Linked DNA regions of Oreochromis niloticus. The protein of the gene in region 1 interacts with the protein of each later gene in a biochemical or structural test. Links are inferred from orthologs where the notes say so. Each region holds a gene or a part of one and is shown in the gene's direction. Other genes may lie near its edges.

Evidence for each region.
Region 2: the proteins of sp1 (region 1) and nfyal form a complex in vitro, tested with the Homo sapiens proteins (2 studies listed by BioGRID). The link is inferred for Oreochromis niloticus from reciprocal best matches to the Homo sapiens genes SP1 and NFYA.
Region 3: the proteins of sp1 (region 1) and atf7ip form a complex in vitro, tested with the Homo sapiens proteins (3 studies listed by BioGRID). The link is inferred for Oreochromis niloticus from reciprocal best matches to the Homo sapiens genes SP1 and ATF7IP.
Region 4: the proteins of sp1 (region 1) and e2f1 form a complex in vitro, tested with the Homo sapiens proteins (4 studies listed by BioGRID and IntAct). The link is inferred for Oreochromis niloticus from reciprocal best matches to the Homo sapiens genes SP1 and E2F1.

Annotation. Positions count from the first base shown.
Region 1 is NC_031970.2:5,752,687-5,760,166, reverse strand, and holds the start of sp1 (transcription factor Sp1), read left to right. Parts: upstream 1-4,470; 5' UTR 4,471-4,622; coding exon 4,623-4,629; exon of another isoform or gene 4,630-4,703; intron 4,704-4,709; exon of another isoform or gene 4,710-4,890; intron 4,891-5,248; coding exon 5,249-5,322; intron 5,323-6,058; exon of another isoform or gene 6,059-6,150; intron 6,151-6,979; coding exon 6,980-7,480. Other genes in the region: tespa1 (sperm-specific antigen 2), read right to left, coding at 136-274. UniProt on the Homo sapiens protein: Transcription factor that can activate or repress transcription in response to physiological and pathological stimuli.
Region 2 is NC_031984.2:21,203,423-21,210,764, reverse strand, and holds the start of nfyal (nuclear transcription factor Y, alpha, like), read left to right. Parts: upstream 1-4,332; 5' UTR 4,333-4,480; intron 4,481-4,486; exon of another isoform or gene 4,487-4,777; intron 4,778-5,251; 5' UTR 5,252-5,271; coding exon 5,272-5,352; intron 5,353-6,557; coding exon 6,558-6,644; intron 6,645-7,342. Other genes in the region: ngrn (neugrin), read right to left, coding at 2,767-3,343, 3,426-3,536, 3,650-3,885. UniProt on the Homo sapiens protein: Component of the sequence-specific heterotrimeric transcription factor (NF-Y) which specifically recognizes a 5'-CCAAT-3' box motif found in the promoters of its target genes.
Region 3 is NC_031971.2:24,258,232-24,265,567, reverse strand, and holds the start of atf7ip (activating transcription factor 7-interacting protein 1), read left to right. Parts: upstream 1-4,323; 5' UTR 4,324-4,918; exon of another isoform or gene 4,919-4,927; intron 4,928-7,336. UniProt on the Homo sapiens protein: Recruiter that couples transcriptional factors to general transcription apparatus and thereby modulates transcription regulation and chromatin formation. Can both act as an activator or a repressor depending on the context.
Region 4 is NC_031984.2:28,972,141-28,979,414, reverse strand, and holds the start of e2f1 (transcription factor E2F1), read left to right. Parts: upstream 1-4,265; 5' UTR 4,266-5,359; coding exon 5,360-5,611; intron 5,612-5,858; coding exon 5,859-5,958; intron 5,959-6,933; coding exon 6,934-7,153; intron 7,154-7,274. Other genes in the region: znf341 (zinc finger protein 341), read right to left, coding at 9-174, 254-344, 426-519, 629-812, 908-1,237, 1,318-1,467, 1,745-1,935, 2,972-3,082 and 1 more. UniProt on the Homo sapiens protein: Transcription activator that binds DNA cooperatively with DP proteins through the E2 recognition site, 5'-TTTC[CG]CGC-3' found in the promoter region of a number of genes whose products are involved in cell cycle regulation or in DNA replication.

The DNA of each region.
Region 1 (7,480 bases):
CTTTATCCAATAAATGGAGTATCCAGCTACTTAGGTATCTTCAAGTTCAGCTGATCACTTGATGTATGCTGAAGATAGTTAATAATAAACCACCATGGAGGATGATCCCTCCCACGTTCCAGAATCTGCTCTTACCATCAGAGAACACATCATCGTCCGCTATTGAGGCAGATGGGAGCGGGCACAGAGGCCCTTCAGGGTCTTCAAAAGTGACCCACTGACGGCTGCTGTTGATCCAGGCTCGCCGCCTCACTGTGGAGGACGAGCTCTCCATCGCCTCAGTTCACAGGACACCCGGGGGACATGGCTCTGTCAAAGCTGCCAAGGTGCAACGAAAGAGCCGGGGATGAAACACTGAAGCAGCAACATAGTTTTAGGCTTTAATGTTTACTTTAGGAGAATGAACACATTTTACTCTAAAGTCAGTTGTATTCAGGATTTTCAGTGAGTATCCCTTCTCATTAAAATTGAGCCATTTTTGCATAGGGATATTAACAGCCGCTTCCTTATCAGTAGTGTTTCTAAGACATCTGTGCATAGATTATACTTAATATTGCAGTAAAAATGAGGTGGCTACACGCAAATCAATCTAGCTATGACATTAAGTTCAGAGACTATACTGCTTAAAGCTCATCAAAGTCAGACAAACAGTTCAGATGAAATATTGTACCTCCAGGACAGCTGGAGACAAGATAACAGACACAATATAAAACATGTACAGATAAATATTCATAAAAATTTGGTATGTTATGGTTAAATGCTCATGAAGCGCATTTACCAGAGCAAACAACATATAAACATACGGATAATAGAAAATGATACAAGGTGGCTTCTAGTTGCCTTCAGTATGACTAACTGACAGTTCACTCTAAATCCCTTCAAAGTAAAAGCAGTCATTATTCATTAAAAGTCGTAATTTACTTTAATATGTAAGGGAAACCAAGTGTAGTCTAGATAAGACTAGTCTAGATTATCGATGAGGTGTAAACCATTAAATATATATGATTATACTAATTAAGAATAATTATTTACTTACTTTAAAATACAGCACACAGGAGCCGTTGGATGCTATGTTCTCGATAATAAGACGGAGTAAGATTTTCTCCATCCAGCTACAGCGAAGCGACTACATGCTGCCTTTAGAGCTCAATCAATGCTGATAACCGAAAAGCAGCCTTACCTTCATCGGCGCAGGTTTCAGTTCTGTATCAGAGGCGCTCTTTGTCTCGTTTCCTGTATGTGTCGGCTTAAATACGAGCAACTTCATCTGCAATCTTTACAAAACTCTCAAACTGCATCCAGCAGGCTCCCGTTTATTAACGACCGCTCGACGATTCTGGTGATTTCCTTTCGAAAGCAGTCAGTTATAGGTCGGGCTGAATATGCGCGGATCTTGGCGGTGAAGCGGTTTGAGAAGCCTTTGTAGGAAGTAACTTTGCATCTCGTCTGAAATACAAAAGTTTTATCAGCGTGGGATGCAGCTGCTGCACATCCTGCAGAAACAAAAACACACTCAGACAGGTCTGTGGAAATGTCAGAGGCAAAGGTGATAGTGCGACACGAGTGATTTGAATGCAAATCATATGATAGGCAAATAGTGCGTGTTTTTTGCACCTCTCCTGTGATATTTGAATTTTTAAAAACAAATAAACATTATTTTTGCGTCCAGTGGCCCACAATCATCTTCTTCAGTCGTTTTACTGTGAGGTGTGTAGTTGTTAACTGCAGCTGGGAAACTTTGCTTAAAAAGAGCAATGAGTCGCTGATAATCGTAAATATGTAATTAAAAAATGGAAAAAAAGAAAGAAAAAGGAGATTTTCTCGTATCTTAGTGTATCATGAAGACACCAAAGAAGTGTAGACTTGCTAATGCCGTGGGAGTACAGAGGCCATTTGTAGCCATCACTCCAACATCCCAGTGCAGTGTGCCACTTAATGCCAGTCTGACATTTTAGCATAATTTTTTGCACTGACTGATAAATGTGATGTATCCTTACAAATTTGACTAAAGTGACAATCTCTAACTATAGTGCCGATCCTCCTGACGGGTTTGATTCATCTACTCCTTAGGCCCAGGTCTTCTCCAGAGGCCTGGGAGTCTGAGGGTCCTGCACAGTATCTTAGGTACTCCTGGGACTGCACCCCACTGGACAGAGATGCTCATATATATATTAGAAGGAGCTAACATCAGAAATCCTACCAGCGGCTAGAAAAAGATGACTTACAGGATAGCACAGAGGCTCAGATCATGGCAGCACATGAACAGGTCCTAAGCACCATAAAGGACAGGACTCTACCACAGCTGACAGAACCCAAACTGCAGACTGTGCAAAGGCGCCCCAGAGACTATCCAACACATAGTAACAGGATGCAAGATACAAGCTTGGACTGCATACCCTGAGAGACATAACCAAGTGGCTGTGATAGTGTACTGGAACATCTGTGTTGCATATGGAAGAGAAGAAGAACAGCAAGGTCCTAAGTTTCCTGTGAGACTTCTGAGTTCCAGACCGACAAGCAGCTGCGGGTCAACCAATCAGACATAGTGATGGCTGTGGTAATCCCAGCAGACAGCAACATCAGGAAGGAGCACAAGGAGACAGAGAACTACCAGAAGCTGAAGGAACAACTGGAGCAGATGTGGAGGTAAAGTCCAAAGTAGTCATAGTGGTAAGAGGAGCTGTAAGAAGCTGTAACCCTGAAATTGGAAGAGTGGCTCCTGCAGATTCCTCGCACAACATCAGAGGTCTCTTGTCAGAAGAGTGCAGTCCTGGGATTTAGAGTATTCAGAAATCAGGACTCTCCGTGCAGTAAAGTACAAAAAATGGGAAAAAACTGTAATTTAATGAAGCCAGTAAAGATACAAATGACTTGAACTCAGTTCTGCCCAGTATTTATTTTATTTTATTATAACCTTAAAATGAATTGCCCACCTCTGATTTAGGCTATTTATTAATCAACATTTGTCACCTGATTAATAAGTAACATTTTTATTTTATTATTCTTACTTTTTAATAATCACCTATAGGTAAAAAGCTGTAAAAGTTATGTTTTAAATAAATGTTAACATTTTCCACTATGATGCATATCTAGTATTTCCCTTTAAATATTCACAAAAAATCACTTAATATAACTGTGTTAATTAAAAAAACACATTTACAAGTTTTTCAGATATTTTGCATGTAGGCTGTAGTTTTATTTATCTGTTGTAAGGACGTGGGTATACAGGACAGTACTGTATTTTATGAAATGCTGTAGTGATGTCACTTTCCGGGCTAATACTGGACAAAAAGCTGATGTTATGATTGTCTTCATAGTAAAGTATATGATGAAAAGCATCTACTGAGCGTGCTTTAACAGTGCCATATTACTGCATTTATTTCCAGACTACCTGAATGCTTGAATTAGTGCTGCTAGATCAGTTCAGAGTGTGGTGGTGTCATGCATGCATCAATGTGTGGCGGTATTCATGTATTCATGTCTGTGTCGAATTGAAGAAGTATCAGTGATGGAGTTCATACAGAGGTGGGTGGCTGCAGGCCTGGCCTGGGGATGGGCTCCACCCTCTCTCTCCTGTTTACACGGGCACATGTGCTGCCGTATTGACAGCCCCCTCACGAATCCTAATAATACAAGCCCTCCCACAGGCGAGCCATTTTCTCCTCCCCGCGCGGTTCATAGCCAGTGTGTGCGTGTGATGGGGGAATCTTCACCGCCACCCTGGCCAACTCCTCCCGCCTCCTTGCCGTTTCCCGACCCACCGGGCGCCACCAGGGAGTGGCCAGTGGCCACGGAGGCAAGACTTAAATACCCATGCGGCCTTCCTCCTTCCCCACCTCCGTTTTCAAACCAAGACACGAGCCTTAATGTCTCAGATGGACAATACAGGCTCAAATGTCTGACAGAATAAAGGCGATCGCCCATATTCCGAGAACTGTTTACTCATGGCGTCTTTTAAGCGGAAAAAGATAACCAAACGTCAATCATACTCAGGGATACAACCTACCGTGCTTGGTTCCGCCCAGTCTTTTGCCTCTAGTCCAATTACGTTGGCCGACTGATACTCGTTGGCAGAAACGCCCTTCTCCATTGGAGAAAAGAAGCGATTGCTCAAAAGAAGCTCTTAGAAGGGTGCGCTTCTTTTATTCATGGGAACAGTGCGATAGTGCAGTGAACAGGGGGTGAGTTTAATTTTTAATATAACAAAACGCCCATTGTTGAATATATGGATACCTATTTCGACTGGGAGATTTTTCCACTCGTATTCTTGTATTTTTGATATTAGATAAATACCTTCTACCGAAGAACATTGTACTAAGAACTAAAAGGAATAATAATTAGGTTCTAGAAGTTTGAATTAAACGTAACTGGAATTGGACTTGAGCTGTATAGGGGAGCTACTTTCATTTAATAACTTCCTTGTCATTACTTCCTCTGATAAGCCTGTTAAAAACCTATACCGCGTGTTCTCCCCGACGTGGGCAGGCTGCCGGGTTCCTAAATCTAACGCACCCACCGTTCTCCTTCAAAGAAGGGGGGGGGGGGGGCGTCAAGTTAGTGTGAAGTTGTGAAAAGTTGTCAAGCAGAAAAAAGAGCAGCGAAACTCCTCCCGTCTTCAAATTATGAGCAGTAAGTGAACTTTTTAAAACTCACTGGCATGTTGTGGACGAACCGATAACTGAACAGTAAGGAGTAGAGTGGCAGTACGTTGTTTTCAATGTGTTCCGTGTCGTAAATGTGGCGTGTGCCGATAACTAAATGCCGAGTTGTTGTTTTTTTTTTTTTAAAAGTGACCAACTAAGGTTACAAACCCGCTAATTTTTAATACACGGCTAACAACAATTAACCAACTGGTCACAAGTAACTTTACTTTTGGACTTAAATTAATAGGTAAGCAGACAGTATCACTTAACTCTGTGCAACTGATGTGAGCTCGCTGGCTAGTTGTACTTACAGCGGTGGCTGAAAACATTTCGTTCACTTCAGCTCATACTTTACACCACTTGTGAGTTCACGTTAGCTTAGCATGTAGCTGGCCCTGTGAGCACTTAGATTTTCTTGCACTTCTTGTCTGAATCGCCTCACAGCGGCTCCGAAAAACACCCTTTTTATTGTGTTCGTGGCCTGTGCTGTTCCGTGTGTTCCGTCCTTTTTATTACACCCAGTAGTAAGTTTCGATGTGTGATGTATTTTTTTCTTGTGAAGTGTTTTAAGGAGATGTACTCTTACAAAAACTCTTCTTCCGCAGATCAGCAGCAGGGTGAAATGGCCGCTGTGGAGAGCGGTGGAGGCTTCAGTCAAAAGCGAAACGCAAATTCACAAGTAGGTTACGGGACACATCCACTGGAGATACTGCCAGACTGAACTCATGTGCACTTCCCATCTGTTTGATCGCTTCTATGGCTCGTTTGTGTCGGGGTCTGTGAGGGTTGTTGATTTTCTCCCCAGAGCACATGTTACCGGGGTGGGGAATGGGCAGGTAAAAGTCGCCCACACGGGGTGTTCCCGTTAAACCCGGCACTTCGTGTGTATTTCGCTCGGCCCATTTGGCTGGCCTTGGAGGGGGTGGCTAGCGGAGTGAGTCAGTTTATAGGGCAAACTAAAAGTGTGGGAGGGAGATGGGTGGGTTTGGGGGGAGGGGAAGCCAAGCCCGCCGCAACTCCACAAAAATGTGGTCCCTCCCATACCCCCCTGCCCACACCCCCTCACCTATCTCTCTTTGATGCCCACTCCCCTGGAAAGAGCAAGAAAGTGGGTTTAATATTATTAATAAAGTTCTTGTTAGTAGAGTGTGTATTTCTGACATTCAGAAAAGAAATCCCTCTTCTTCTTTTTATATTAATCTACCACATCACTAGCATTTTTAAATCAGAAAATTAATTTGGAAAATAATATTTTTAAAGAGACATTTTAAACCATTTAAACTTGTATTGTAAATGCTTTGAATTATGTGCAAGGAAGGAAAAAAAATAAACTCTAAAAATTCACCCTGTAATTTGTCATTTTCAAAGTGGGACAATATTTACATTTTAATGTGTTACTGGGCTTTCCAAACCAGGCTACACTTCCTCTTGTTTAGGGGATGCCACAGGGAATTATCTACCACCATCTCAGCCCATCTTTAACATCGTCATCCTCTACCAACCCTCTGTATGTCCTCCTTCACTAAATCCATGAAATCTTCTCTGTGGTCTTCCTCTTTTCCTCCTGCCTGGCAGCTCAGTTTTCAACATCCTTTGTCCAATATATAAATTTTCCGTCCTCTGTGCTTGTCCGCCACCTCAGCCTCGTCTCTCTAACGTTCTCTCTCACTTCACATGGCTTTCCCCCAATATTATTTCTAAACCCATCCCTACTGGTCACGCCCAACGAAACTTGAAAGCTGTGTGCACACTGGAAGTGATTCGCAGTGACCGGATGACTAGAAACCACAGAAAGTGGATGATATTCCACGGGTTCAGGTGACTATGAGCGAAATAACCGCAAGCGATAGGAAGTGGGTGGGACCTGAGGTAACCAACGGACAAGACTACAAGTGAAAGTGAAGAATACGGCTGATTGGCACATGACCTGATGGTAAATACGTTAGAGAGTTACCTAGGCAACAGTAGCATGGAATGTCCACAAGCGACCAGCCGTCCACTTTAAAGCAGTGACAATCGATTGACTTCCAGGGTGTATGCAGCTCTGCCACGTCCAGTTCCATCTTCTGCCTTTGAGTTAGTGGCACCATCTTCACTCTTGCTGCCATCCTTCTGTCACAAACCACCCCAGACACTCACCTCCACCTGCTCCACCCTGCCTGCACTCTCTTCTTCACCTAAACTTTATTATATAGGTGAATTCTTTCAATCACATGCAAGTATCCAGCTTTACTTGAACATCCTGATATTTTGACAGCTGTTACTTTTTTGTAACTCTACATTGCATTTCATATATTTCTACTTTCTAAAAGCTCCTTCATTTATTCTTTTTCCAGGACTCACAGCAGCCATCACCACTCGCCTTGTTGGCAGCCACATGCAGTCGCATTGACACCCCGGGAGAGAACGATTCCCCTGCCGACCAGCACCAACAGAATCAGCAGCAGCAACTGGACCTAAACCAGGCTGTTTTTACCTCCAGTGCCAATAGCTGGCAGGTAAACCCTCTCAGTGTTCAAGCATCCTCAGGCTCCAACACAGTCACCACAGATTCCTCAGGAGTGATGTCAGGAGGAGACCTCATCAAGAACAGACAGGTGCTGTCGCCCGCTGCAAGCTCTCAGAGTCAGCAGCAGCAACAACAGCCCTTTGTAGTTGCTCAGGCGCCGTCAATGCAGGGTCAGCAGGTCCTTACCACTATATCAGGTGTGATGCCCAACATCCAGTACCAGGTCATTCCACAGTTTCAGACAGTGGATGGCCAGACGCTGCATTTTACACATGCTCAGCAGGAGTCTGCTGTGCCTGCCACAGCAGGACCAGGCCAACAGTTTCAG
Region 2 (7,342 bases), on another chromosome or scaffold:
TAGCATTTTATAGCAATAAAATTCTCCGTGCACATCAAAAAAAACCTGTAGTAACATGATATTTTTAGGTTTGTTGGATGAATCGATGTCGTTGTGCATAACACATTGTGCATTAACTGCAAGGGTAGTAAAGTATGTCTGTTTCAGGACAGAAATTGTTTAAAATGTTGTCTGCAGTTCTAATTGCCTAAAGCACAAGGCCTCCTGTAATGCTAAGAGTTTGTAGTATAACATTTTTCTTAAACCTGATCTATTGTGATGAGACAAATGATCACTGTAGTCGTATAATTGTCATGTTTGTAACAATTTCAGCAGTTTTGGTACTAATCAATTTTTGCAAATTATATAACAATTGACAGATTGCAGTTCAAAAATATAGTTTTAGAGTAAAAATTACAGAATTACATAATTTTTTAAACCACACAAACATATAACCAAGTTAATCAATATCTGGAAATATAGCAATATGAAAATAGCATAACTCCTGCTGTAACCATGGCTGGATAAGAGCCAAAGCCATGCCAAGACTGTTTTGTTTGGTGGGTGGATCTCTGAATTTGAAGCTGTAGTGAACTACTGTTTTGTTTTTAATCAGTCTTAACGACTCCGTCTCATGTTGTTGTTTTGTTAAACATTTGTTGCACAATTATTTGTCTGTCTTGTTTTAAAGTTTAATTTATTGGTGAAAAGCTGGTTCAGAGTGCAGTAAATTGGATGTGGTTATACAAGTGCCTGGTGTGAGGACCTAATGTGTGGCCAGCATCTATTTACTGATTTTTTTTATTTTTTATTTTTTTAATTTATATCATCTGATATGTAATCAGTTTCATCCTGTATGTCAGTGACATCTCTAAGTTGCACTTGTTGCCTAAGAATAATTTTTGAGCAGTAAATGTCTGTTTTATATGAGCTCCCACCGAACTGCATGTTAACTCTCAATAATACTTATATCTACAGCTGTGAAAAGAAAATGACCTGTAATAACTTGGTTATTCTTTTTTTTTCTTTTTTTTCTATGTTGGTATGAGATTTAATACTGGCTACTTTGACAAGAGAGTGATCTTGAATAAAAGCAGAGTGGACACAGGGTTATCATGTAGCTGCTTTACACTGGAAGAGACCTGGCGAGTTCTTATTACGACCATTTATTGCTATAGGTGAAGGTAACACACTTTTTCTTAAAATTTAAAACTGCTGTATAAATGAAGAAGTCATTGTGATGGTTCTGTACATATACAAGGTTACACCTTTTTATCTGATATGTTTCTCTTTTCTGTATATTTGAGACAATTTTCTTTGGGTTTGCCAATAAATTCATATGTTCCTCTATTTTTGCTACGTGGTGGTTTGTCACAAACGGCAGTAATGCAGAAATGTGAGACTAACAATAATAATGGGTAACTGTCAACTGGGGATATTTTCACATGATTTATAAAAACCTAGTTCCAAACAAACAGAATCACATGAACCCAGATTTTATTCACAGTAGAACAAAGAAAACACATTTGTTAGAAAAAGAGGGGATGTTACATAATGGCACTCTCCAAACTTTTTGGACACGTCTTGTTACCATCAAATTCAAAATATTTTTCTTGTTATGGTACATGGTGGTTCAGTTTAAATGTGATGTTTTGTGTCTTTGACTGTGGATGAAATGTGGCTTTGAGATTTGCAGATCACTGCATACCGTTTTTGTTTACATTTTACAAAGCGTCCCAGTTTTAAGATTTTAAAAGGATAAGTTCAAAATTGTAGTTGTGTAACAACTGCAGTAATCATTCCTCTGGCATCTGAGTGCTTCTTTGGGGGCAATTGAATTGACTCTGAATTTTGAATGGATGTTGGTACCAGATGGGCTGGTCTGAGTATTTCAGAAACTGGTGATCTACTGGGATTTTCCAAAACAACCATATTTAGGATTTACAGAGAATGGTCCAAAAAAGAGAAAATATCCTGTGATCTCTGTTCTTTATGTGAAAATGCCTTGTTGATGGCCAGACTGCTTGGAGCTGATAGGAAGGCAACAATAACTCCAATAACCACTCATTACAACAAAGGTATGCAGAAGAGCATCTCTGAAGGCACAAGTTTGGGCTGCTGGTTGTGGTGTAAGGGTGTGGGAGATACTTTCTTGTCAGACTTTGGGCCCCTAGAGTGTCAGATTACATCTAACCTGAGTATTGTTGCTGACTGCATCCATCCACGTATGCACAAGTTAAACCCACCAGTAGGATACCAAAGCTCAAATCATCTCAGGCTCGTTCCTTGAACGTGACAGAGTTCACTGCACTCAAATGGCCTCCACAGTCACCATATGTCAAACCAATAGAGTACCTTTGGGATGTTGTGGAACAGGAAGTTTTCATCATGGATGTATCACATTTTCATCAATTGTATGACTTTATGATGTCATACAATTCCTATCATGTCAATATGGGCCAAAATCTTTGAGGAATATTTCCAGCACCTTGTTGAATCTGTGCCACTAATACTTAAAGCAGCTCTGAAGGCAGAAAGGGATCCAACCCAGTACTAGCAAGGTGCACCTAATAAAGTGGCCTGTGAATGCATTTGTCTATGACTTATATAAAAATTGACACAGGGATAAACTGGGAAGTCAATACATGGGTGAAATGGGCGTGAAATATCTGGACGAAAAAATATATAAGTGCAAATATCTTTTGCACAAAGATTCAAAATAACTTTTATTTGGTAATTTGCATGACCCCAACATTGCACATGCTGAGCTAACAACACAAAATATTCTCAGATTCTATACAAAAAGTTTCCATCTGCATCAAAGAAATCATTCCCAACTTGGACTGCTGGAGAGGGCTTTTCCATTTTCATAAGCTCTTCAAGTTCTTCCTCTGTCAACACCTGTCCATCCCAACTCTCTTCATCCTCCTCTGTAAGCTCACTCTCATTAGTGCTGCGCTCTGTTGTTTCTGTCACTGTGGCATCTTCACTAATACCAGCTGCAATGTGTGTGGGCTGAACAGTAACAGGGACAGGACTCTTAGCTAGGGAACGTGAGCCATGACCTTGAATCACCTGAGTCTGATTAGCCACAGGGATCAAAGCACCTTCTGTGCTCCCAGGTGGGAGTATGGCTTGTGAGTTCCTTTCGGGCAGTTTCAACCTGTCCTGCTGTGTCTTAGCACCTGAAGGCAGCACCTGCTGGCTCATTTTAGCCATTACTTTTGCATTCTGCTTGGCTTTTCTTTCAGGAGAGGAGATGAATTTGCTTCTCAGGACTCTCAGGATCACATCATGGCTGACAGAGAAGCCTTCAGCCAGACGCTCTACTGTCCACTCGTCTGGCTGATTTTGCTTCAGATATCTGAAAATTGAGATTTCATATTAGGCTTAATTTAAAACACTTCTTAGTTTACCATCTGGACAAACTTAACCCTCATCCTCACCTGATCTGCTCAATGGCATCCCAGGTTAACCTCCTCTCTGGAGCTCCTGATGGTGTCATCTGCCTCCTTAATATGTGATACTTCACAGTCTTCTGTCTTTTTCTCTCTTCCCTGAAACAAATCCCCAGAATATTTAATATATCTTGTCATAAAGACACCATATATTTATTATTTAACATCGTTTTACACTGGAGAAATGTGTGAAAAGTCCTACTGAATCTTACTGAATTAAAGCTTGCAGTTTGTCCTCCACGTCCTCCAGCTCGAGTTCTCCATTAGATGTCTCATCGCTGTATCCTGGTCTGCTTGATCCTTTGTCTGCCTGCGCAGGGCCCTGTCCCATCCGTGCCTTGCTGGCCCCTCTGCTTGCAAATCGGCAGTTGCTAGCACTCACTGAGGGAATCAGAGATGAAGCACCAAACTTGGAGAGGAGGGAGAGTATCTGCACAGACCTGGCCATGCCAATAAACGATGTGTCGTCCTTTTTTCTCTTTCGTTTTTCTTTTCTTGTTTTTTAGGGAGTCACTTAGGTGTCATGATAACAAAAACTTATTTTACTATAAATTAAACATAACCTTGCTGCTCACGCACTCATGGTACCACTCGTAGAAGTACTTCCGCAAACACTGGGCTCATAGCATAAAATCGGCGCTCTACTGCCAACTAGCGCTACGGAGGTAACATTATTACGTGTCCCTGTGCTGAACAAAGGTGGTTACCTCGACCATAACACTACTTAAATTGCACGCGTTGCAGGTTTAACGGTACTGATGCGAGAATAATTTCCACTGATAACATAATCGAATAGCAGTTAACATAAATAATACAAGTCAGGAGAAGTCCGCTAAAATAAGAAAACTCAAACTAAATGGCGACATCTGCCGAGGGGACACTGCAACGCTGCCTCGCCCCCCTGTTCAAGTGTCACGCAGCTGCGCACCTCTCTCCCAGTCGCCGTTGTTTCATTTGCGCCATTTTGTCCGCTCACTTTGTTGATTGGGCTTTAGCAAGCTGTACTGGAGCCAATCAGAGGGAAACCGGACAGCGAAGATACGGTAAGGAAGCCCCGATTGAAGGCATTGGTAGTTGTCAGCACGGATTGGTTTGTCATGGACCAACCAAATTACTAACCCTGCTTAATGCAAAAAACTCAAATTGCAGTTTGATTTCGACCGCTGCGTCCCAAGACCTACAAATAGCTTCATGTTTCTAGCGTTGGCCACCGCGAGGAAACATGATCCCCGCTTGGTCCACAAGCCTTAGCTAGCGTTAGCTTCTTCGCTAAAATATCGTTTCTCGAACAAAGAGAGTGGGAATAAAGCCACCGTTCGACCGTCAGCAAACACTGCCAGGTACATTATAATGAGCTGTAATAAACAAGCTGCCCACAAGAAAATATCCACGTTCGGAGTTGACGACACAAATAGTATCCTTATGCGCTTTCTAGAATTTACCACGCTTTTAGCTAGCGGACTGGCGCTAGCCGTGTTAGCTTCCCCAGTAAAATACCCGCTAAATAAAATTCCCCTTTGAAGGAGTCCAGCAGCTGACACAGCTGTGTCCTCCTGGGGGGATCATGTTTCAGCTGAAATTCGTAGACTTCACATTTGACACAATGCGACACAAGTCGGTGTGAGGAAGCACTATAAGGTCCTCTTTAAATATTGAGACCAATGAATTGAAAACACGTAGATATCGGTTAAAAAGACGGGGGTTTTTTTGTCGTCGTAAAAAAAAAAAAGATCATTTGTTTACATATAAAATGCACTGTAAACCATAGAAATCCAATATTGGCTCATTTGTATGTTTTGTCTTTGCCTCATCAGGTTTTTCACGGTAAAAAGCCATGGAGCAGTACACCACTGCCACCACTACTACTGGAGAGCAGATTGTTGTTCAGACAGCTAATGGACAGATCCAGCAGCAGGTGAGCTTAGGGTCGACAATTTTATTCCTTTTTTAATTAATTAATTATTTTTTTTAAAATTACCCTACCACCAGATATGAACTAATATGTAGTAAGATTATGAATACCAGAGGGTCAAAATAAAATAAAGTTTTAGGGATTCCAGTTGGATCATTGGATCTCAAATCATGGTGTCATTTCTGATCAGTCCTCCCAATTTGCCCTAAAAGTTTATGGTCCAGGGATTACCTGTGTGTATAAATATAAGTCGTGATACCTGTGATCTAAGTATTATTGAGAGTGATATCAACTATTTATTAAGATATAAATTTTTTTGAAAAATGTCCCATCAACCCACTTTCAGCATGTTTTTTTTTTTTTTTTTTTCACGCTTTGAAATCCGAGGCAATGTTTGAACATGGATATCTTTAACACTATTAAAGATAAAAGTGAAATTCTTTACTAAACTCTCGATTCATTAAACTGAACCAGCATCTGTAAATTGGGAGAGAGAAATTGGCTAGATCAGATATGAGAAAAATTAAAAGCAGTCCTGCAAAGTCTAATATTTGAGTAAAGATTAATAAAAAAAAATTCACATTGTAAAAGACAACTAGTGACAATTTCTTAACGATATATAGCTGTACTTCACAATAATGAAAAATAACATGTATAATAATTTTTAACATGAAATCCTCGGTCACAAACATGAAGAAGATGCTATTTTCATTCAAGTTTCATGCTGGATTGAGAAAACATGACACACATTTATACCACAAAAATATTAATAATCTAAATAGAACAGATCTTTTGTAATTACTCTACCTATAACCAAGAAAATAATTGTTTTAAAATATGCAAACTTTTTAACTTTTCAGGTCAAGTTTTTAAGGTAATTATGTTCAAACTTTGCTTGAGTTTTCAGTGTGCAGATTTTTTCTGCCTAAAAGGCAGAAAACTGGGTTTACTGGCCTTTTAAAATAAACAAATCTAGAAATATTTCATATATGAAGCTAACACTTCAAAGCAGGCATTATATATATGTCCAAGCTTCAGACCATATAATTTTTATGCAAATCAGAAATGGTTGACTATACATAGTTTTTTTTGTTTTTTTTAAAAAAAAAAAAGATTATTTGAGATGCAGTAATCCAGTTCCAATTTATTTTCTTGGTACTTTGTTGTTGAGTCTGTATGTATGAGTCTGTATCCTGCCCTGCCTGCAGACACAAGGCACAGTGACGGCTGTGCAGCTGCAAACAGAGGCGCCAGTGGTGACGGCCTCAGGCCAGCAGGTGCAGACACTCCAGGTAGTGGTGTCACCGCCGCCCTGTGTCAGTGTCATGACTGTTTCACAGCCTACCGGTTTGCATGCCATAGCCAGGGCTGTTTGTATTTTTATTTTTCCAGGACCCATCTGTGCTGTTTGGTTCATCATTTCCCTCCCAAGCATGTCTTGCAACTGCACGTTCCTCAGCACAGTGTTTTGTGTGTCAGCCTCCAGTTATTGCTTTTGTTCTCATGGCTGTCTAAACTGAGTTGTGCTTGTCTCTTGCTATTAAAAGCAAGTTTAGAAAGTCAGACGTTCTTGTTCTCAAGTGCCGATGGCTGTGGAGAAAAATATGCAGAATATACAACAGAACATCTTTCTGAGGTCTGCATGGATCCACATCCATTACTGGCTGCCACTGTTCATCATAGTCTGATATTTTTCTTACTGTTGTGCTGAATAATGTCAGCAGGTACTGTTGCCCTTGCAATTTTTTTTCCTGTCATGCTGCTGCTGCTGCTGCTGCTGCCACAGACCATAATTTGTACGCTGTGGTCACTTTATGGATGTAAGATGAAACATCAGTACTTGCCAAGTTGAACATGTAAATGCAAATTAATTTTACCAACATCTTGACCAGAAAGGTACAGTAAGCAAATTCAGTTCTTGTAAGCTCTTGTTTCAGTAGCAGTATGGCTGTAAATACAAGACCTAAATTCTACATACAGAAGTTTTGTATTT
Region 3 (7,336 bases), on another chromosome or scaffold:
AGAACATTTAAGCCATGGCTGTGGGAAAACAAACAATTACACTTAACAGATAGTGAAAATGCAACCAGATGAACTGATAAAAGACTGACAGAGCCAAACATCTGCCACTGATACAATGCCAACTGAATCAAAATTACTTGTGAATGTGTGTGTGTTTAAGGAAAGAGTGATGATGAGCCTGTTTGATTTACTGTGACTGTTTTAGAGCCTCTGTGTTTGGTGTCTATTTGCTAGCTAGTTACTGTCTGTCTTTTTGTTGTTCTTTCATTTTATGGCAGGTATTAAGCAGCGATAAGCTGCGAAAATGCCACCTACTACGCTGGAACATTATTGGAAAGGTCCTAGCATTGTTTACAATAGTACCATATGTTTTCTGAACTTTTTAGTTTAAGAAATGCTAACTCATAAGCATGCTAGACAAAAGATGACAATGACGGAGAAATAATTCCCAAGAGCAGGAAGAACAGGATAATCAGGTCTAGCAATGAGAAAAGACACAGAGACCGCGATGACCCATTACTGACTTAAAAGCAGTAAAACTGTAATGTTTCATATTTGTTTATGTCTATACACATGCACAGGGTTACATCTATACAACCAGTCTTAGCAGATATTAATTAGTAAATCATGGTGATTGTTTTTTGCCACAGTCCTGTTGTTTTTATTTTTCTACCAGCAATTAGGATGAAATTTACTAAACAGACTGATGTACCCAAGAACATTTTTTTCATTATTTTTAAACAATTAATAAAGCTTGTTTCATCTTCAGGCTAAACATTTAAACACAAAGTATCTGGAACCATGGCTGTAAATGAGCAGGCTTGTTATCCAAGGAGGGACGCCCTTTTTCACATGACTCAGCTTCCTGTATTGCTACCTCAAGGTCTTCATAGAAAACTTTACGATTTTAGCGACAATACAGGCAAGGAGATGTTTTTTTTTTCTTCTTCTACTGCTGGAAAGCATGAAAATCAATTTTATGTATATAAAATGTAAACCCTTCCTCTAGATGTCACTAGACCAACAACATCTGGACATTTTTGCTAATACTAGTCTCTAGCTTCAGTTTCAAACCTTATTTTTATATAGTGATCAAAATATTTTGCTACGTTAACTTATGAACTAACACTGTTCAACGTGTTGAAATTCTGTGTGAAAATGTGGATAAAATATTAAGTGGGTGTAAATCATGTTTACATGTAAAGATTTTATGCATGTGTGCAGGTACGTGGGTCTGGGTAAGTTTTAATATTGTATTGATAACTAGTAATTATAAGACAATGGCTTTCAGGCAATGCTTAGGAGGAACAGGTCGTACAATTAGTTACTAATGGGAGTAAAACTGTGTTTATTTTAAAGAAACAAGTAACTTACAATAGGTCACTTTTTGATTTACAATCCCAACAGTGTTTTTATGTCTGCCTCAGCACCGGTGACCAGATTTTGTCAACAGAACAGCACCGCAACCTTGAAATAACTTAAAAACTTTACCTATGAGATCAAAAGAAGGCGGCTCAACGGTGGGTGTGGTTTGGAAACTTTGTGTTATTGTATTTTATTTTTGCACAAATGTAGAGGTATGTTCTCCACTCTTATAAAGGTCCATTTCAGTAACAGATTCAGTGTTTTACATAAACTGTTTTCACAAATCCATCTGGAATAATCAGTTTGGGATGCTATTTACACTTCTCTGACATGAAGCACATGGCAGGAAACAGTCCTCTTCCCACATGCACTACTGTAAATACCGCATGGTTAGGGAAGGGAGCTGACTGAATGCAGGAAGCACATGACAACCAGACTATTACCAACACGCATTAGCGTAAACTGACCTTACGTGGACTTTGTATTGGGAAGACGGCAAATTAAAGACTGACTAAAGTTCGATTCGAAACTTTGCACCCTTTGTTGTGCTGATAAAGAGCTTTAGTTAATTTTTAATATGATTTTCTGGCGTTCTCTTGTTTACGCTGAGACTCTAAAGGACATGGCACACCATGTAGACACATTGGCTGGCAGATCGTGAATGTGGTTTACTGTGAGCTACAGTTTCTGTGGTGTACCTTTATCATTGGCTTTGTAGCTGACTTGTCATGTTCAGCTAAGGTTAAAAACAGTGTGTGCGGATGGTGGTTAAAGCTAAATTTCATGTGGGCTTTGGTATTAAACTATATTAAAAATGATCATCCAGAATTGTTTGTTCGTTCCAGAATTGTTTCTATTTGAAACAGACAACATAGTTTTTGTGGAGGTTTATTTAGCTTGTTAGTTTAAGTTTAGCTTCACAAAGTCAATAAAATTATACCGAAAACAAGTGTCTGTTCCTCATGCCTACCCAAAATCTCCCTCTGCTATAAACAAGCACTACAATACATGCAGAAGTTTGGACACCTCAAGGCAAATTAAACGTTTATTAAATTTCAAAGTAAAAAGATGAATAAAGCCCTTCGGGGAAACTAAATGTGTCATTTAATTATATATTTAACTGACACACCCAAACATTCAAGGAAACTCTCAGAGGTCAGCATTAATTAACTCATTAGGTCTCATACAGTTCAAGTATGCATCCCGCCTGTCACCCTATGATAGCTGGGATAGGCTCCAGCGTTCCCTGGCGTCCCTGAAGAGAGTGGGTGAATGGACTTGTACCGACAAATTTTCTGACCACTCAAACTTTGCTCTCCTACTTAGGAAATCTCGAGTTAAGCTAACTGACACTTAAAAGACTATTATAATATCATTAAGAATGGTAATTTACAGGAACACTGTAGAAGTGCTGGGCAGAAAGCCCGACTGAAAACTCCATATGATGACAAGGGACCCGGATCAGCATCGGTAAAGGGAGACCTTACCTACGCACAGACGACCTCTGGATAAGCCAACGCCTTTCTGAAAGCTCAATTAAGGTCCTCAGCTGAGACTGCAACCTTGCAAATCTTAGCAAAGGTATATTTGGAGGAAATAGGAACATGGAAAAATTCTGCTTTCAGGCTGGAGAAGAATGGACCCTGTTATAAATACATGTATACACAAAAAACACCACTCAAGAACTCACAATTATCAACAAGGAGAATTATGTGAAAGTGTGCGTACTTCAAACTAATGCATACAAATGTAGTTTTTTTATTACTGCAGGAAGTCAAGCCTGCTGTGGGGTTTTAATAAGCAAATTTGTGGCTACAGATGAGTGTGTAAAGACAGAGAGAAACAAATGCGCTTATTGAGATTTATTTTTTTAAATAAAGAGGCATGTGTACAGACAGCTTTATAACTCTGCCGAAACATACAAGCTCACCTGGCGTTATAGTGAGATTTCCAGCATTAGGAACTTTAAAAAATCCTGACAAAAATATTGAAAAGTACTCTAATTTTAAAAGGATTTATTCCTCACTTGCACGGGTAACTATGCAAAAATACTTCTACCATCAAAGCAGCGTGTTATGATTTATTGAGGACTCTAAACGGTGATTCACGAAACTCAGAGCTTCAGCTATGCAGGCTATTTTCAGGCTGCTTGTGCTGCCTAAGCGAAGGGAAATCTAAATGCTTTTCATTGCTGTGTGTTCAATTTATGCCCCAATATCAGTGTATGAGGACTAAGCTACAGTGTAGCCTAGCTGATATGACCACAGGGGGTGACTTGTCTAAGCTCAAGGCTGCTTTCTTCAGCACTGCAGACATGTCTGGTGTGCAAAAGGGTGTGAGAAAGAGAGAGACAAGCAGGCTCTTGGGGAGCACAGATACCAGCTCCCCTGCTCCCAAACACATGGATTCTGCTGCAAAGGGACTCAGACAACACGCGGTGCAAAGGTTTAAGCTATTCCTTTTCTGGAATACCAACAAACATGAGAATATAAGAACACTATAACTCACCCCCTGCTGGCCTCTTAGGGAACAGCAAGTTCCTCAAGCACAAGTGAGTGCACAAAATGGCTGACCTGAATTAATGCTTTGTGATCTCAGAAGGAAATGACTGTAAAAAGGCTGTTGTTTCTAATAAATAACATAACATAACTACTCGCTGGGACCTTCAGGTGGACTCTTCTCATGTGTGCACTTCCGTGTAGAAAGTGCAACACTTCAAGGTGCCTAACACCCTGCATAACCACCATGCTTGCAGATGCAGCAGGTCATGTGTAACTGTAAGTGTAGGTTTACAAAACTACAATCACACCACTGTCTGTAGTTAGGTTACAGACAAATTTTCAGGCTGTTGTTTGGCAGAAGGCTCCTCCCCCTCCCTATAACCCCTTCCCCTTAGCATTAATGTCTCTGGGCTCTGTCTGGACACCCCTCCCCCTCCACGCCAATGTTCAGCTGCCTGTTCTCTACCACTCATTGGCTCTGTGTCTGTCTCAAACCTGCTCCTGCTGCTGCAGGGTAACTACAAGCTGCAGCACATTTTCTTTGAGTCCTGCATATCCTCCGTACTAACCGACCTAAAACATCCTACAGCGATTCATATACATACCTTGCCTGCTTTTATCTACCGACTTCAGCACGGTGAACAACAGGATGCTTTAAAAAACCCCGAGTGAACCACTCAGACTGCATCTCTGGACTGCGCGACCGTTAGTCGTTTAACGACCAATCCCCCTCCCGCTCGCAACGTCAGCCGTTGGAGTTTTTTTGTGCGTGCGCGAAAGGAGGAGGAGTCTGTTCGCGAGTCAGAGGGTGCTCGGAGCACTCGGTTGAATCCGCGAACACAACAGTTGTTGTTGTGGCACAGTTCACTAGTTTCCCCGGTTCATCTTGAGAACGTGGACTTGATGCAGCACTGATAACGCATCCCGAGAGCACCGGTGCTTCACACAGGGGGTCCGTAAGAGTTGGTTTGGACACCAGCGGGTGAGGAGGAGACCGTACGGAACGAAGCTTAAAATCGCGGGAACATCGGAGGACAGCGTAGAGAAATTCGGTGAGTGAGGTACTGCAGTTAGCATGCTACCCAAACAGCTTATTTGTACTTTTATTTAATAGCAGTGAATGCCATCCTTTATGGAACTTGTGGTTCTGAATAGAAATATTTGATATGAATTAGGAAAAAAAAAAATCTGTTAATGGTAGTTGGCTGCGTACAATGCAACAGTGACCCCTACAGACCGGGATTACAGCAGACATGCATAATGAAAACCCTGTTAGCTAGCAGTGTCAATGTTCGCTAAATGAATAATGGTATATTGAAACTGTTTTTTTCTTTCTATCGATATTACAGAGTGAAAACATTTTATTTGCAGCTTTTATTTACAGACATTTTTTTATTTTATTTTTTCGGTAATGGGTTATATTCGATTAGTTTTTTTTTGTGTGCGTGTTAGAAAAGTCGTTCGCATAACCAGTCCGGAATCATAACATCCATGTATGCTAGCATTAAACTGTAAATTGAAATGAATGCTGATAAATCTTACATTGGTTATTCAGGTAGTTTTTTTTTAGTTTTTTTATTGCATACAGCATATATTTTAGAACTTTTGAGCCTTAAAAAATTTACGTGTCTATTCTTTGATTTCTGATGAACGTTATGAAACAAGTCGTCTTTATCTTTAGTTATATGAATAACAGTCACTTTACTATCTGCTGATTCAAGAAAGAGTTCTTACATCTCTCAAGTAATCAAATACTTTAAGTTTGCTTCCCAGTTCAGAATGTGGAAATGCACACTTGTGTCTCTGATGTGTTCGTACCTCATTTTATGACTTTTTAGGGAAAGTTCTACAAAGTCAATGTAGTCATGTTGGTGCTAGGAAGCAGCGAATATGATCAGCATGCTGCATGTTGAAATAACAAAAAACTTTGTGGCGTCCGTTATTGATCTTCTGTGGATGCTAAATGAACATTTGGTGTTTTTTATAAAATACACAAAAGTTTTTTAGCTCTTACTAGATGGTATCCCTGAATTCACTGCTACAGTATAATCTTTTTAACTTAGCTGTCTAAAGTGACTAGAAGTGAGTAGGAGAAAGCTGCATTCCTCATATTGAGCAGCTGAACCCGCCCCCTCCCCCTCTTGGTTTAAAGTGGTACAATCCAGTAATTTTCCATTTCACTCTCCTAGGATGTGGGTGTGGCCTAAAGTCAATGATCAGAAAAGAGTTGAGCAGGTTTAGTTTTTTACCTGCCAGTGAGTTTACTTAAAAACTGAAATCTCCACCTTTTATGGTTTTAGTGGAAAGATGGAAAGATGTACATGATCACTACACTGCACTAAAGATCAGACACCAAATGTCTTGGGCAATTTCTCAGTTTTCAGTGTTGTAGTCTTTCATCATATTTTCCAACATCTTACATATTTAAAAAAAAATCAGTTCATATAAAGTCCAGAGTTTCATATTTGCTTTTAATTTTTTGAATCATGTCTTGTTTCTTGTTTCACCTCCCCCTCTTCACTTCTGCAGTGCTCACATGGTGCACTTGTAATTCATTACAGAGACAGTTGTTTCCCTACAGAACAGGAAGCAGCCCTTAAAGGCACAACCTGTTTTTTTTGTTTTTAAGCTTTTTTTTCGATTTTACGTAAAGTTATATTTGACTTTGTTGTAGCTATTTATTCTGCTTTTCCTGTAATCCAGGTTTTTGCAATTACTGTAACAGTAATATGCTATGCTACATTTTGTAGTTTTACCTGTGTTCGCTTTAAGATTGTATTTAGTTTGGATGTGTGTTTCAACCGGTACCCTTTTGGTTGCAAAAAACCAGAGTTAATGATTAAGCCCTAAACTCTGCACGAAAATGTTTAGTGGTCAAAACAAACGTTTCCCCCCCCCCATAGATCTCTGTAGAACCAGAGGTTCTTTTTGCAGCCACAACTGTCACCTTCTGGTAGCTGTCAGATAGAAGCCGCTTCCAGATTGGCTTCATATATGTTAGAAATGCGTAAAACAAAAAATGTCAGCTAGCAGTGGCAGTGGCCAATGATAAATTAATTGCCTTCTAATACCATAGAATTGATCATATTACACCGGTAGTTTTTTAAAATTCTGATTAATATGACATCAAATGTTAAAGCAAACAACAAAAAGCTACTTAAACATTGTTACTGTTTTTGTTCATAACGAACTGTTTCAGGTGGGAAAAACTACCTTGTTATTCACAAGGATACATTGGAAAAAGGACAAGAAAGAGTTGTCCTCACATCTCTCCCTGTGCACAGTTATCTGCCACACTGAATCAAAAATCTGTTAATAATGAATTTTCTCCCAAGTTTCGCAATTGGAAAGGTACATTTGTGTCTTGGGTATGTTCGTACCTCACTTCAAGACATTAAAGGCCAGTCCTACAACATCAGTGTAACGCCGTGTTGATGCTAGGAAGCTGCAGACATAATCAGTGTGCTGCA
Region 4 (7,274 bases), on another chromosome or scaffold:
GACGGTACCTGCTTGTGTCGGCTCCTCTGCTTGTGTTTCCTGCACCCCGTCCTCATCCCGCTCACTTTCCTGCTGCTGTTCCCCGCCCTCTTCTTCCTCACTGGGGGGCACTGGCACCACCTTTACTGTGATTGGTAGTCTAGACACAGTGCTGGCCACACTCATAGGCCACACCTGTAAGATAAAGACAGCTGTTGTTAGTGTGTTGATTAACATCTAAGTACATCATGCAGATACCTCTATATCACAACACCTTGTGTGTCTGCATGTGTTTCTTCACATTGGACTTCTGCGCGAAGGCTCGGCCACAGACGATGCACTGAAACGGTTTCTCTCCCGTGTGGCTGCAAAAGGGAAATTGTTTTAATGAATCCTTTATTTCAGCTTTAAAGTTGGTCGAGTCTACATCCTGGCAAGCAACTCACCTCCTAATGTGCTGCTGGAGATCAAAGTTTTTCGAGAAGACTTTGTCACAGAAGTTACACTTGAGCTTTGGACCTTTTCCCTTGAGCTGCTCTGCTGAAGAGTCCAATTCAGACAATTAATACAGTTTAAATAAACATCCATCACGTTGTCCTCTACAGTTCCATTAGGTAAAAACTGTAGCCTACAAACTGAATCTTTTTACCTGCGACTCCATCTGAGCTTTTTTTACAGTTCCTCGGTCGCTTGGGAACGATAACCTTTTCAAAGTCACCCAGCTCCGTCATGCTGGTGGTGATGCTGCAGGTCTTGGTTTTGGTGCCCTGCTTCCCGGGGCTGTACACGGGAGGGGTTGTGAACGAATGACTCTCCACACCCTGACTGGGCACCTGAGGAAGACACGTACGCTCACAGAAACTGGAAACAAAAGGGCGCGTATCATATTTAGCACTGTGACGGCAACCAAACGGCAAGCTTCACTCACTTGCACAGGATGGAAAGGCTGCAGACCCAGTGTGTGGATCTCAGCTCCACCCCCGCCACCCCCACCACCTCCACCACCTCCGACCATGTGGGGCAGAGTGCTGTACACCTGCACCACTGAGTTGCTGTGGCTCGCCGGGACCTGGGAAGTGAGTGTCTGCTGGGTGGGCTGTGCAGGTGGCAGGGGATGGGAGGGTGGCTGCTGCTGCTGCTGTTGTTGTTGTTGTTGCTGCTGCGGGGGCTGCTGCTGCTGTTGATGAAGGTGATGGAGGTGGTGGTGGTGATGGTGCTGTAAGTAGGACACACCGGCTGTGTGCATGCTCAGGTTACTCTGTCATAAAGGAAGCGGACAGATTTGATGTAATAAATTAAAACACTGGGGCGTGAAGGAGAGAAGGAGGCAAACAGTACCTGTATGGGAGTCTGCATGGGGGCCATGGGCTGGTCGATGGAGGTAAAGGCTGAGATGGCGGACATGAGGACGTCATCGCTGACGAGCACGTTCCCTTGGACCAGAGTGTGCGTCAAAGGGGAGGGAGGGACTGTGATGTAGGTGGACACCTGTGTGAGTGCCAAGTCAAACACAGTCACATCAGCTACTTTTTGAATCATTATAAGAAAATCTTTTTTTCCTTTACAGTCCTGGCCTCTTATATAACGTATTTATAAAATACTTTTACTATCAGGTCACCTTTACCTCCGACCATTACCTCTTTCCCACTTCTCTTTACGTTTCTTATCAGTTTTATTACCGCTTTACGCTCTGCACAACTAACTTATTAAACCAAGCAAGTTATTTATCACCCCCACAGATAAATTACCCTTTTGCTTTCCTCACCTGTCTGTTGGCAGGAGTCTGCGGTACTGAACTAATAGACGGGACAGGCGTGTAGGCATTGGTGGAGGCCAAGGACACTGTGGACAGAGAAGGGGTGCTAGACTGGCACTGCTCCCTCTTGTGCGTCATGAAAGCAGGCAAAGAGTTGAACTGTTTTTTACACTTCCCACACAGGAATACGTCTTCATCGTCTGTATAAAGGTTTTAGGCAGCAAGAAACAGCAGAGGGGAAAAAAAAAAGACACACATGAGTCAATTTTGAGGATGTTAATGCACTTTTGGACATTTAATGGGTGGTGATATTCGTCCTTTAATGTTTTTGCAGTGATGCGTTTGGCTTTGGTAGCTATTTTAAAGGAAAAGTATTTTTCGAAGTCTGCACACGATGACTGCATTTCACAGCAAAAAGTGTGCACCACCAGATAAATGAAACTAGCAGTCGAGTGTGTCACGAGGACTTAATTTTGGTTTGATGAACCAGCTAATAGCTAACTAACTAATAACACAACTGTAATAACGTATCAAATTCTTGCCTCTAGATTCTTCTTTTTGTGTAAGGTTTTTGTTATGTGACACAAATATGAGCTGCAATAACATCAGGATGAAAACATGTGCTTATATACTACTTACATTGTTTTAACTGACATTTACTTAATAAACTGATCTGAAGACAAGACTTTAAGAACCTTGGTCTCTGGGATGATTTAATCAAATTAAACTGAATCCAACCACCAGGGTCACTGACCGCCACCCAATCCACAAGGCACCGAACCCCTGTGGTACCTTCTATTTGTGGTGGGCTCATTGTTGCTCAGTCTGACTATGCCTGGACAGGGCCCGTAGTTAAGGTCTGACCTCTGCCTCAAGCCACATGTCTGACTCCAGGGTTGGGCCTTGGTAGCCCTCTCCCAGGCAGAGTAAACTGGTCCGTATTTTCAGTTCAAAAATACCTGCTACCTGAGGGATTTTTCTGACATGTCATCCCTTTAGAATGCACTGAACAAAATCCAGGAAAGAATGGGGAGCAATCTCTCAGCTGGCTTGGGAATGTCTTAGTGTCCTCCTGGATTAGCTAGAAGAGATGGGCGGGCATCTCTCCTTCTGCCCACACAACCCAGACCCGGATAGGCGGCAGAAAATGGATGGATGGATGACATGTCTCTTGACATAAAAGAATAACAGGACAATAACACAACCTGTCCCACAGCTGTGCATGCCATTACATACCCATAGACTGGATTGTTGGCGTCCCAGAGACGTTTTGGTTGTTTGGGTCAGGAACACCTCCTTGGCTGTCCAGCAGTGACTGGACTGCCAGCACCGTCTGATTGTCCATGCCTGAAGAGTAAGAAGAAGAATTCACCTGCTGCAAAGATCCATTTTATTCTGAACACTCAGTGATGCACTGAAGTGTCTAAATATGAATTAGTAGTTTTATCTTATTAAAAGAAGAATCAACTGTGATCAGAAACAATAGTAGTGTTGAAGACTAACAGCTTTCCATAAGGATATCTCCACTGCGCACAGTAATCTCCTAATACTGTACTCACTACAATAACAATAACAGTAATAATTCATTTACAACAAAGAGGCTGTTAGTCCAGTAATATTACAAAGTCTTGTCATTAAGAGGACCTGGAAAGAAAATTACCGTGAAATGTAAATACATTTACCATCTGACAGCAATACGATGACTACGATTTATAATAAGCTGCCCGTTAGGTCGAAAAAGTGTTTAATCACTTTGTTTGTTTACATTCATACTGAGTCCTTCCTATATGCTGTTTTCCTTATTGAAACAAAAACCAGAGGCTCGTACGTGGATTTACGTTATTTTTTCTGCGTTTCCAAATGGGCCTACATCAGTGAAATGTCTAAAGTAGGAGTAAACGTTTTGGGTAATTGTAATTACGCTGCCAATGAAGAAATACTCATACCTTCCAGCACCTCAAATATTGCCTGCGCCATCTTGTAGCACTCCTACTGCGTGGTAGGCGCTCGATTACCTATGGCTGCCTCTTGAGGTAACTCTGCTCAACTAAGGAAAATCGCTTTCACCCAGACATGTTTTACAATAATAATAATACTAATAATACTAATACTACTACTACTACTACTACTACTACTAATAATAATAATAATACTTATTATTATTATTATTATTAGTATTAGTATTATCATTATTATTTGTGAGAAACTGTTCTCGAACACGAGACCGGCTAGAAGAACTGCGGTTAATATTTTGTTTTGTTTTTTACTTCGACAACAACAAAAATATAAATTTATATTAATTACAAACAACTTGGTTGACATCACCCTGATAAACTGAAATGTATTTGCTTCAACTAAAATAAAATGGTTTATTTTCCAAGTTCCGCGAACGCGCTTCTCATCGATTTATCTGCGTTCGGTAATGTGACAGACATCCGCTTCTTCCAATCAGAGCTCCTCGGCCCCGCCCTGCGAAAAGCGCTCAGCTCGGACCAATCCCAACCGACTGTTTGGCGCACGTGTCGGTTTCGCGGCAAAAAAGATTTCGCGCGAAAACCGTCAGGGGCTTGTTTAGATGTAGATCAGCTGAGACAATAACAACAATAAAGGACGATAACGGGGTAATGACGGCGGTTTAACGGGTGGATTGCGGCCGGGGTGAGCAAGCGAGGTCCACCGATTGTTATGTTAAACCGTGCGCTTGTTTTTCGCCGCTTTATGTGCTTATATTTCCAGTTTTGTCGGACTGCTTCCTGCGTGCCCCAACAAAACAAGGGGATTGAACAACTGCCGCTAATAAGTTAGCTAACATGCTAATCTGCCCTATATATTCATATTCGACCACATCTATGTACTATCCGCTGGACTGATGCTCGCTTTTATGGATATAGTCTCAAAGATGATTTTAAGTTCCCGTGATGCTTTTTTGCGGCGTGGATATTTTGTTCTGATCGCTCACTTCTGTAAGCTGCTGTAAAGTTTTAATAGCCTCTTAACTTCGCTCGGTGTTTAATACAAGGAGGAGTAATATTGTTCTAGCGGCGTGACCTGCGAGTTTGGCGGCTGCTCGGGTTTGTTTTGTGACCCTGTTCGAGTCTTTGTCGTTTGGTTGGAAGCTAGCTCGTTAGCCGGGGTGGTAGCTGTTCAGGGGCAGTGTGGCCAGGCCTCGGCTCTACTGTACTGACAGGAGAGATGAAAACAAAAGATTAGCTTGCTCCCTTTGCTAGCTTGCCAGAGTGGATTTCTCCCACGGCCAGTTTCGGACTTATTCGCGGCGGAGCTTTTATAGTATGCATTTAGCAATATTTCATGTGCCAAATTTCCTGTTTGGCAGCACACCCTGGCTTGCTGTTTCAGCCTCAGCCTGAGTTTTAGGACGTGGCTTTACATTGCTGTGGTGTAATGAAAATGTTTAACAAAATAAAACAGTTTATGAAATGTTCCACCTGCTTATGAACTCATTCGAGACAGTTTTCACGAGAATTCACCGTTGTTGCCTTCATTCACAAAAAAATGGCAGATGTGAGTCGGTGCTGATACTGTCATAACAGCATCTTAGTTTATAATCACCACCACCACCGCCACCCAAGTCCAGTGAAGAGGGGCTCCTGGTGACACACTGCAATGTCAGAGACTCTGATAACAGGGCAGACATCGGAGGATCTGTTAGCAGACTTTGAGACTTTGCTGAACTCTGGGAGTATCAACTTGGACGAGGACCACCAGATAGTGATTATCACCAGCCCCAGCAATGAAGGACTCCACTCGGCCCCTGCCCCGACCAGCACGGGGGAGATCCTGCTGTTCGCCACGCCACAGGGCCCAGCTGACGTAGGGATCCAGGACAAGAGGAGACCACCTCTGGGAAGGCCACCGGTGAGGAAGGGAGGTGTGGGAGGAAAGGGGAGAGAGAGAGAGAAAGTGAAAGAGCAATAAGGGAAGTGGTTAAACTGAGAAGTTGTTCGTTTACATACTGCACGTAGCAGAGCTGCTGTAAGTTACCCACCTGTTGCTGGTATCAGTTTCACATTTCTCTGCTCGTAAACAGTGCGTGACTGTGTCAGCAGTTAGTCTGTTACTGTCTTATGTCTGTTTCTTACTCCAGACATGTGTGTTCCTTCAGGTAAAAAGGAAGTTGGACCTGGACAGTGACCATCAGTATGTCAGCACCACTCGACCTTCCACAGGCCAGGCACCGCTTTCCACTCCTGCTCCTCCCAGAGGTACAGCTAACAGCCCACACCCCACTCTAAAAAAATCCTCGCCCACACATCCTTGCTCACCTTTGCCCTCAGCCATTGTCATAAAAGCAGCTGTTCTTTTATCAGCACGGCCTGTCATCCTGTCTCCTCCAGACTGGCTGTATTGAGAGATACTTACAAATATTTGTCTATTCAAATAATAGAGAGACTGGGGTTTTTTTGAGAATGGAGCAAAGGAAGAGGCGCTGCGATTTATCAATTCATTTGATCCCTTTCATTTGGAGTATCTGGGCACTCTGCATGCACCAAAAGGATCAAATGATGGACTTGAAATGGAAAAGCTACACGTGACACACACATTATATTAATTGGTATAATGTGGAAATACGAGTCTATCCCTCATGCAAGATAGACTTCTGAACCGTTTAGAAATGCAGTCCATGTGGATTTCCACTGGGATCTGTTTGGAAGGAGATGGATGCAAAGCAGCTTTTCAGTATCAGTCATTGACGAAATCCACAGCTGGATAGCAAAGAGGGGAATTTTTTCCTTTAAATATCAAAAGCACGGTGGTTAGCACTGTTGCCTCACAGCAAATAGGTCCAGGCCAGGGTCTTTCTCTGTGGAGTTTGCGTGGGTTCTCTATGGGTACTCTGGCTTCCTCCCACTGTCCAAAGACAATGTAGTTAGTGGGTTAGGTTAATTGTAACTCTCAATTGCCCATTGGTGTGACTGAGTGCAAATTGTTGTCTGTCTCTATTGTTAGCCTTCCGACAGACTGGCAACCTGTCCAGGGCGTACCCTGCCTCTCGCCCTAAGACAGCTGGGATAAGCTCCAGCTCCTCTGTGACCCTGAGGAAGAGTCCCATTTTTTAAAGTGACTGATAATCTTCATTTGAACCTTTTGCCCACCCCAAACCGCTGCCTCAGCTTACGCTCTAGACCAGTAATATGTGCATTTCTTTTAATTCTTGTATGTATTCTCTTTCTGCCCAGTTCCTCGGACCACGGCAGAGAAGTCTCGGTATGACACCTCTTTGAACCTGACCACCAAGCGCTTTCTGGACCTGTTGTCCCAGTCGGCCGACGGCGTGGTGGATCTAAACTGGGCGTCTCAGGTGCTGGATGTTCAGAAGAGACGCATCTACGACATAACCAATGTCCTGGAGGGGATCCAGCTCATCTCCAAGAAGTCAAAGAACAACATCCAGTGGCTGTAAGTGTTCAAAGACGCCTAAAACAGCAAATGAAAGAAATCTGGGAACGGGAGCAACAACTGTGGCAGAATAAATTTGAGTGCTTGGTGGGTGTGTCTGGAGATCCTAAGCAGTCGGTTT